2 linked regions of the Rattus norvegicus genome follow. The protein of the gene in region 1 interacts with the protein of each later gene in a biochemical or structural test. Links are inferred from orthologs where the notes say so. Each region holds a gene or a part of one and is shown on either strand. Other genes may lie near its edges. The genes, in order: Arfip1 and Arf3.

Region 1 (4,601 bases):
ATAGGCCGTTTATCTATGTTACAATATAACATTCAAGGAGGTGTTCACCCGCCAAGGAGTAATAGAGGAAAAGATCCCTCATGTCTAAGATAATCAAAGAAGATATCTCCAAGTCATTCCACAGATTTTACAATGGAGTTTCCTAGAAGTTACCTAAAGTCACACACCTAAGGTCAACCCTGCCTCCACCAGAATTATTTTAAGCAAATTATCTTAGCTCTATGGGTCATTTAGGTTCAGTAAACTTCATCTACAACAGTAGCTCTCAACCTTCCTAAAGCTGTGACCTTTTAACAGAGTTCCTCATGTTTTAGTGACCCCCACCAAGCCATAAATTTATTTCCATTGCTACTTCATAACTGTAATTTTGCTACTGGTATGAATCATCATCTAAATATCTGTGCTCCGAAGGTCCTAGTCCACCCCTGTGAAAGGCTCCTGGGACCCTCCCCCCAAAGAGGTCATGACCTACAGGTTGAGAACCACTGATCTAAACAATGAGGAGGAGGGAGCATCCTTATAAGGTTGCTAGAAGGATGAGTTAATCATGAAAAGCACTTGGCACCATGGACATAGCAAATAAATGTATTAAATATACCTGTCACTTCGGTGCTATCCAGAATCTAGCTTCTAAATTTGCTTTTATTTCACAAGCAACTAGCTTAGTTAGCACTGTCTGCTCCACTAGGTGAGGATGCTACCCTGAGGGAAAATCATGACATTGTTGAAGAGAAGACAACTTACTATAAGCTGCGCAGGTAACACTGTGTGAATTGAACTTCAAAATGTTACAATTTCAACTTCCAAACACTTCACAGCCAAACCAGTAAGTAAAATGTGCTCCAAAGACTTACATAAAGCTTGGAAAGATCCTCATTTACAAGAAACAATAAATAACATACATAATACAGAATGAAGAGAACGGGGTATCAAAAATGCTGAAGCCATGTGGACTACATAAGACATCTTTGCCCTTCCTTAGGGAAGCCCAAGGCAGACATCTCTCTCCAGTTAAAAACAAGATAATGAAAGCCTAGAACAACCATCATTCCAATGCTTTCTTCTGAGTTGTACCCAGAGGACTGGTGATAGTTAGTATGCATTAAATAATGATAAGCACATCAGTGTAGAAAGCCCCTGTATTGACAAAGCAATGGACACAGCCAGCTATCCCTAAAAAGAAACCTCAAACCCACAAATCAGGAACTGACTTGGTTCCTTCTATAGGTCCAGGAAGGAATGTAGAAACATGGCAGTTTTTTGAAGTAGTGAGATTTCAGTACCAGGCTGTAATCCCTGCACTCTACTCTGTACAGCACCCAAGTAGGCCATGTGCAACTCGGGGAAACAACAGCTCCATGAATAAACTGTTTCGATTAGCTTCAACAAGACATTAAAACATACTTAATCTTGCTGGACATTACACATGTCCTTTAAGAAGTTGATAAAAGACTGCCTTTACCCAGAACACATATACAAACAGCACAGAATTTCAGGGGTAGGAATAGAAACCCCCTGAAAAATCACTGATACCTAGACTGAGACCGAACCCAGGATTAAGGCAAGCATAATCCAAGAAAAGTTAGCATTTTGTCAAACAGGAAACAAAGTAACTCAGGCAGAGCCTTTAATTCAGAAAATCATAGTGGAAATGTGCTGTTTTCCTATATACTAAGTGTTAGACTTTGTAGTAAGTGTTGGTCACAGTGAAGAAGGAAAACAAAAACGGAAATTAAAAGCAAATAAAAATAGAACAAATATAAGAAAAGAGTACAGCTGCAATACTTGCTCTGAAAGAGCAGCAATGAAATACAGCCATTCCTGCAGCCTCCAGAGAATTGACCAACCATCATCAGTCTGGTGCACCTTTCTTCAACAATCAAGTTAATCAGATGGCAAATGTGAACACACCTTCGCAGTTGTGAAAGCAACACGTTGATGAAAAGCCCTGCAATTCTTTTTCATTCTTTTTTTTTCCTGATCAGATAAGAAGCAAGTAAGTATACTTCAGGAAGGACACACAGAAATCCTGACAGGGTGATTAAAAGGATCTGCAGGAAGTGTAAAGTATAAACCTTTTGAGATCAGAGGATTCAAGAGGAAAATAAGAACAAAGCCAAGGAAGCAATAACAGGGGAGAAAGTCTAGAATCTAAACACTTAAATTAACACACACACACACACACACACACACACACACACACACACACACACGCCTCCTTTCCTAGACACGTAAAGTGTAGTTAACTTGGCAATAAGGAACGCACCAGAAGGCAGGGCCACAATTTCCTTCTCCAAACTCCAGCATTCCTAGGACGCCCTCACTAGCACTCAGGCTTGGGACCTTTCAGTCGGGGCGCCTCCCTCTGCACCAGTGTCAGGCAACCTCTCCGAGGGCTGATTGCTACCTCCCTTCCTCTCACAGCAGGAGAGAGGAAGCAGGAGACTTAGGGAAGAACGGAGGGAAAGGCGGCCCACTTGGACAGAGTCCAGAAAGACCCGGACTCTGCCAACTTTTCCCACCCACCGCCAGCACAGTCAAGCGGTGCCGCCCCGGGGGCCGGTGCTGCCCTATTTCACTCCAGAATACACTCAGAGGAATGGGGCGGACTTGGCTGCTCCCAGGGATGGAAGTGCCCAGGAGCAAGTTTGGCGAGAGTAGCCGTAGGCGACTCGTCCGTCCGGGAGCATGCCACCTCAACCCCATCCTTTCCGCCGCGGCTCCGCCCTCACCTGTCTGTCAGCAGGGAAGCCGGCAGCGCTCCGTCGCGGGTTCTCCCGGTTGCAGCAGCTCTCGGGAATCGCGTCGGCCTGAGGCAGGAGGGACCGGAAGCGCGACCGGGAGCTTTTCCTTCGTCTCCTCCCCCACGCCTCGGGGGCGGGGAGCAGCTGCGGCTGTCACAGGCTCTGGACAACCAACCGCCGAGGACACTTGCACCGGCGACCTCTCAAGCCGGCCTCCAGCGCTTGCACCCTACCCGCGGAGCCGGAAGTGAGAGACCGGAAGTGCGGGGTCTTGAGCCCCGGACAGCCTCTCTCTAGAAGCCAAGCCGGGACCCGCCACGTCTCTATGGTGCGCGCGCCTCTCCCTAGGGGCTGGGTCCTCTGGACTCCGCCCCGGGCCGCAGCCCTGTGAACTACATCCGGGAATCCGCACGGGCCGTTGCCCGGGTAACCCGGTTGCGGCGTGGAGCAGAGTCACTAGTTTGCAAAGTGCAACCCACCAGCCAGACAGTCTGTCCTTTTCCCACACTCATAGTCCGTGCCTGGAGGGTGGAGGTGGCCGCAGCTCACCACCGCGCAGCCGAAAGTTTGTCAGCCACGGGAGAGACCGGGCGGGAGGCGGAAGGGATGGAGCGAAGATGAATGTACACCCGCTGACAGCACGGAAGCCCGGTCCTCGCTTTCCTAGGTGTCTCTCTAGTTCTCCGCGACCAACGCACTCGTACCAATCTGTGCAGAAAGACCGGCATCCGTGAGCGTGCGGTTGTAGCACTGTTGCTGTGCTCCCCTTCCCCGCTGCTCTCTGACAGTGGCTCAGGGTACTTTTCTTCGCTGCTCTTCTCTTGCCAGCACCCAAGATCTGCCTTCCTGCTCATCCCCTCTTAATTAGATCGCCGTCGCCCTGTCCACAGAAACATTTCAACTATCCCTCTCTCAGAGCTCTTCTTGGCCGTTTCCTACCAGTCTTTGGGGTACCTGCGAGAGTCTTTCATATCCCCAGCGGCGCTATATAGAAATGTGCCAGAGCACATTTCCATTGAGTTCAATATCCCTGTACTGTCTTCCTCGGACTGGTTAATAGTAACACTACATACAATTATTTACAAAATGCACCACATACATTTTAAACCTAAAATGTATTGTATTGTCTTAGATTGCCAGCACATCAACTCTTACAAAAACAGTGTTGACATGCCCAAGCATAAATCTTGTGTAAAAGGGCCTTCCCGTTCTGAAACTGATCTATAAAGGGGGGCGGTGTGCCAATTCACTCAAACCGTAACTATCCTGCAGTATGTTGTGAAGTTTCCCACTCAAAGCCATCCTCCAGAGTTGGAACCCATTAGTCTTCGCTATTATTAGAAAGGGGCCCCTGTCTAGTGCAACTCCTGCTCTCATTCTGTAAGAACTGAATAAGACTTGTAGCTAAGTGCAAATGTCATCTATAGGGCTTCTGAAGGGTGACTTGGAAAAGATGTCTAGCAATGCCCAGTTGTGTATGAATGGTGTGGACAGTTAGTATTTATCAAAACTGGGTGTCTCCTTAAGGATGTCTGATGATGTCTCTTTACATTTAGGAATACTTGGCTTCTTGTATTGGTCGTTTGTCCTTAAGTGGTATACTTTCTCTGAGAATTGCTGATAGTTTTTAGGATGGCTCTGATGGACTTGGAACTAAGGCTAATTTTATTTGAAAAAGATGCTACTAGTTGCTTATTCTAAGTAACAGTAAATTTTCACTTCCTTGCTTTTTTCTTCTTGTCTTCTTTCTCTCCTTATCTTTATTTTTGTCCCTTTTTGCCCCCAAAGAATTCTGTCTACCCATTCTGCTTAGAATGAATAGAAGATTCCTATTCCTCTCAATTGACATATATGATC
Region 2 (4,556 bases), on another chromosome or scaffold:
TGCTGGCAGGAGCTCTTATCCACTAACCCACCTAGCCAGCCCCTCGGTGACCTTTCTAAGGAACACTACTCTGAATCACCACGCGCCCTTACATCCGAGAGGACGTTCTCAGCCCCTGCCTTGCCCCAGCTTCACTTCTTGTTGAAGCATCAAGAGCTAAAGCTATAAGCTGACACAGACAAGAATAAGGTGCTACCACTCAAAGGACACGGGGGAAAGTCGCTGTAACAACTGTCCCTTCACACAGGCCCATGCCGCTCTTCTGTGAACTTGCTTTTACAGCAGCCCCAAGTGTTGGTGTCATGCTATAGGACGGCTACAACTGCAGCTAACACGTACTAGGTGTGTGCTCTGTACAGTACTCAATAACTTACATTTGCCATTTAACTCCCATGACGCTGCCCTCTTTATGCACAAGGAAAAAGGAAACTTAAGTGTGAACAAGAAATTTATCAAATACATACAACAAGACAGCATGGGCAGGAGGTAAGCCCACCCCCATCTGGTCTGCTCCTACAACCCAGCTTCAGTTACTGTGGCATCTGGCCTCTAAAAGCACCATTAGCCAAACACATTGGTGTGTTCTGGCTGGAAGGCCTCTTGGTATCTATTTCCAAAGTCAGGTGAGGAAGCAGATTCCACAGTTTCTGTCAGCTACAGCCTCGGTTTTAAAGAAGTCTCTCCTTCTAATCAACAGAGAATGCCTCTGTCCTTTAATTCTATTTCCCCTCATTGTAAGTGCTGAAGAGGGTTTAGATGAACACATACTTAAGGTTTGAGAACCTCTCTAACAAGATTTCTCAACTGTTCAACCATCTCCAATGTGTCGGGGTTTTTGTTGGATTTTATTTATTTTGTTTTGTCTGAGACAGTCTTGCTATGTAACCCAGGGGGGCCTAACTCTACCTGCTGTCTACATCTTCCTAGCGCTGAGATGATAGGCCTGCCACCACACCTGGCCCTCTTTACCTCTTCCTTAAGCAGTAGCTAGAAACCTTGCACACTTCTACACATTGCTATCCCATGTTGTTCTTATAAAAGCAAGATTCTTAAGTTCGAACCCAGCCTGTCTGAAAAAAAAGGAAGTGAGGCTCTGTGGCGGCTCCCAGGTCAACCTCAGCGCCCAAGAGACAGAGAGGCACCAGCTGTTCGGTTGAGGCGAGCAAGGGAACTTCACAGAGAAACCTTGTCTCAAACAAAGAAGTAAGGGAGGGGGGAAAGGAAGGAGAGGAAGAAGGGAAGGAAAACTGTGCAGGAGTGATTATGTGACACTTTTCCAGCTGCCTCCAAGGTCAGTGACTCGTTCTGTAAAAAGCTGAACCTAAGTGGATCTTTCCTAAGTGGCCCTTTCTTTTTTTTTTTTTTTTTTTTTGTTCTTTTTTTTTCGGAGCTGGGAACCAAACCCAGGGCCTTGCGCTTCCTAGGTAAGCGCTCTACCACTGAGCTAAATCCCCAGCCCCTAAGTGGCCCTTTCTTAAAACAGCCTTTAACAATGTATTCAAGTGCTGGTCCAATATGCGAAAGACCAACCCATTGGCCACTCACTGCAGCACACCCCCAAACAGGTCTCAGACAAAATGGCAGCAAAGACAGTTTCTATCTACCTGTCTGGGGACAGAGATGGAGGTATGCAGAGACTAGATTCTTTCCTGTTGCAATGACTCAAGCAATCAGACTCCTGCAGCAGATCTCCTCCCAATAAAACTTTCATGCCATGGACCCAAGGGTGACCCAATCCAACAGCGGCAGAGACAGGTTTTACATTACCCGTCTCCCTCACCCTAATGACCTCACTATTTTCTTCTTAGTCCTGACCACATACTCCTCCACCACATTCTTCCTGGCCCAGAGACCAGCGGCAATATAACCCCCAGAAAGAATCAAGTCTCTCAACAGAGAGTTACGACTTAATTAAAAGACCCTGAGTTTTTAACAGGGAACATTACCTCCCCACCTCCCCCTCCTTCCTTCAAAGGACTGGCGTAAGCAAAGGCTTCATTTTCTGTTCCGGGAATCCTGGTACTTCCTAGAGAAAGAAAGCGGATTGGAAGACACAAACTCAGGGCCAGTGACAAGATGCTCCCTCCTTCGGTGAGACCGCCCCCGCTACGCCTGGGGGAGGAAGGCCCCACCTCTCTCCTCCAAGCTAGCTCGGGTCCCCCTCCCCCTTCTCCAGCCTCCTCTCCACCCTCTCCCCACCTGCTGCCCTCTTCCCAACCTGCCCTGCCCAACACCCCAAAGCAGAGCGCAACCTCCGTGAAAACCGTGCGCAGCCGTGCCCCCTCAGGAGGCCCTGATGCTAAGCCCCGGCCCCCATGCCTCGCGATGGGTGAGGGGGAATAACCACGGCAAGGCTTTTCTTTGGTCCCCCCACAGCTCAGGCGGGGGAGGGAGAGAGAAAAGGCAGCATTCCTCACAGCCCTTAAACACAAGGAAAAAGATCCTAACAGACACACCGCCCCCGCGTCACCTCCCACCGTGGGTCAGTTCCCCCTCCGCCCCAACCCTCCAAAGCTCACCTCTGCAGCCCAGGTCGCCCCCTCGGGCGAGGCCGAGGACAAATCCGTGTGCGCCCCCCGCCCCCACCCCAGCTCGGCGTCCTTCAGCTGCGGGGGCAGGAGTGGGACTGGGGTCCCCAGCTCTGCGAGGATCGCCCCCTGCACCTCGCCAGGCCGTGAGAGGCGGACCGCGACGAGGGACCTCGGGCTCCCACCCTGACCCAGCCTCTTCCCTGCCCGGACCCGCCTTCCCTCTCCAGCTCCGAACCTGTTCCTGCTCTCTGCGCCCCGGCTGCCACCGCCGCCTCCGCCCCCGCAGGTTCCGCCTGGCTCTCCGGCCGCTGCCTCCCGCTCCGCAAGCCGACCGCGGCGTAGCTGGTCCGCTGGCCCGCTCCCGGCGGCTCCCTCCTGCCCTCCCTCCACCTAGCACCGGAAGCCGCGACGGCGACAGGAGCTGTGCGGCGAACACCCACCCCCAGCCCGGGATACTTCCCACCTCCACGATCGCGCGAGAAGTGCGCGCTAGCGAGCGGCAGTTCTCGCGAGACCCATCACCATGGCAGCGGCTGCAGCAAAAGCAGCCGGTGCTGAAGCTGAGTCTAGGCGGGGGCCTGTGTGGGGGCTGGAGGAGCCGGAGGCACGGTGTGGAGAGGAGGCTGCGGGCACAGAGGTGAGGCTCCCGAGCTAGCTCCGGGGCCTTGCCACGTTCTGGCTGCCCTGGCCACAAGGCTCGGGCCATGGAGTCTCTGGGGTTTCTTAGAGCCTCAGTGGGGTATGGATAGCGAAAACGGTTGCTGTAACCTATCCTGGTCCAACTTTTTCCTAATAAACAGCGCTTCGCACGCACCCCACCTGCTAATCCGCTCAACTCCCTAATCCCTAAGGATACTTTCTTGGAGATCCTTTCTCATAAAGGAAGAAGAGAAAGAACGATGCATTCGAGATCGTAGAGGAAACCATCATCAGGATGCGGGTCATCTAGGAGGCTGAACTTGAAAGACAGTGGGCAGAAACTCAGAGACAGCTCTCATGAAGTCTCTCTAGATGAGTCTGGATTTTAGTATCCCAAGGAAAGAGGACCCAGGTCCCTGCCTTCCTTTCTTGACACTCATCTTTTGACATGACGGAGACACTGCCTGAGACTAGCCACAAGTTACATTAGAATCTGTGCTAGATGGGTCGTCACTAGAAACACTGAACACCGCTTTCTTTAAATGCATCAAGTACAAGAGCTTGGTGCAACATTAGGACTCGTCTCTCCTTCCAAAACATAGGCTGGAAAGTGACCGCTCAGTGTCTATACCTTGTCACATCCGTCTCTGGGCTATACCTTTATACCAGTTTGCCTTCTCTTGTTTACCTCAAAAAAATAACAGGACTGGCTGGGCGGTGTTGGCACGGGCTTTAATCCCAGCACTGGAGACTCGGGATGCAGAGGCAGGTGGATCTCTGTGAATTAAAGGCCAGCCCGATTTACAGAGCATATTCCAGGACAGTCAAGAAAAAGAAGGTAGGGGTTGGGGATTTAGCTCAGTAGGTCCTGGGTTCGGTCCCCAGCTCCGAAAAAAAAAGAAAGAAAGAAAGAAAGAAAGAAAGAGAGAAAGAAAGAAAGAAAGAAAGAAAGAAAGAAAGAAAGAAAGAAAGAAAACGAGAAGGTGAACTAAGACATAGACAACAAAGAGCTTGTTGATAACGAAGAAAACCATATTGGTCCCCATTCGGGATTCACTGCTGTTGAAAGCCTTTGTTAAGCTCTGGGTTTTGTTTATTTTTTTCGTTTACTAACGTGTGTGTGTGTGTGTGAGCATGCACACACGTGTGCTTATATGAGAGATTGTGGGTGCCCTTGCGCCCCTAGCAAGATGTGAAGGTTAGAGAGGACATCTTTCAAGAATCAATTCTTGACTTTTCCCTTGTTTGGGCAGGATCGATCTCTCCTTTCTGCTGTTGCACACTCTGGGCTAGCTCCATACAATTCTCCTGACCTCATCCCCCATCTTGCTTTAGGAATGCAATTACACCACAGGCATCCAGCTTTTAAAAAAAATATTTATTGTT

Evidence for each region.
Region 2: the proteins of Arfip1 (region 1) and Arf3 form a complex in vitro, tested with the Homo sapiens proteins (2 studies listed by BioGRID). The link is inferred for Rattus norvegicus from reciprocal best matches to the Homo sapiens genes ARFIP1 and ARF3.

Annotation. Positions count from the first base shown.
Region 1 is NC_086020.1:172,218,359-172,222,959, forward strand, and holds the start of Arfip1 (arfaptin-1), read right to left. Parts: upstream 2,808-4,601; 5' UTR 2,733-2,807; intron 1-2,732. UniProt on the Homo sapiens protein: Plays a role in controlling biogenesis of secretory granules at the trans-Golgi network. Mechanistically, binds ARF-GTP at the neck of a growing secretory granule precursor and forms a protective scaffold.
Region 2 is NC_086025.1:131,788,022-131,792,577, forward strand, and holds the start of Arf3 (ADP-ribosylation factor 3), read right to left. Parts: upstream 2,959-4,556; 5' UTR 2,767-2,958; exon of another isoform or gene 2,520-2,766; intron 2,027-2,519; exon of another isoform or gene 1,947-2,026; intron 1-1,946.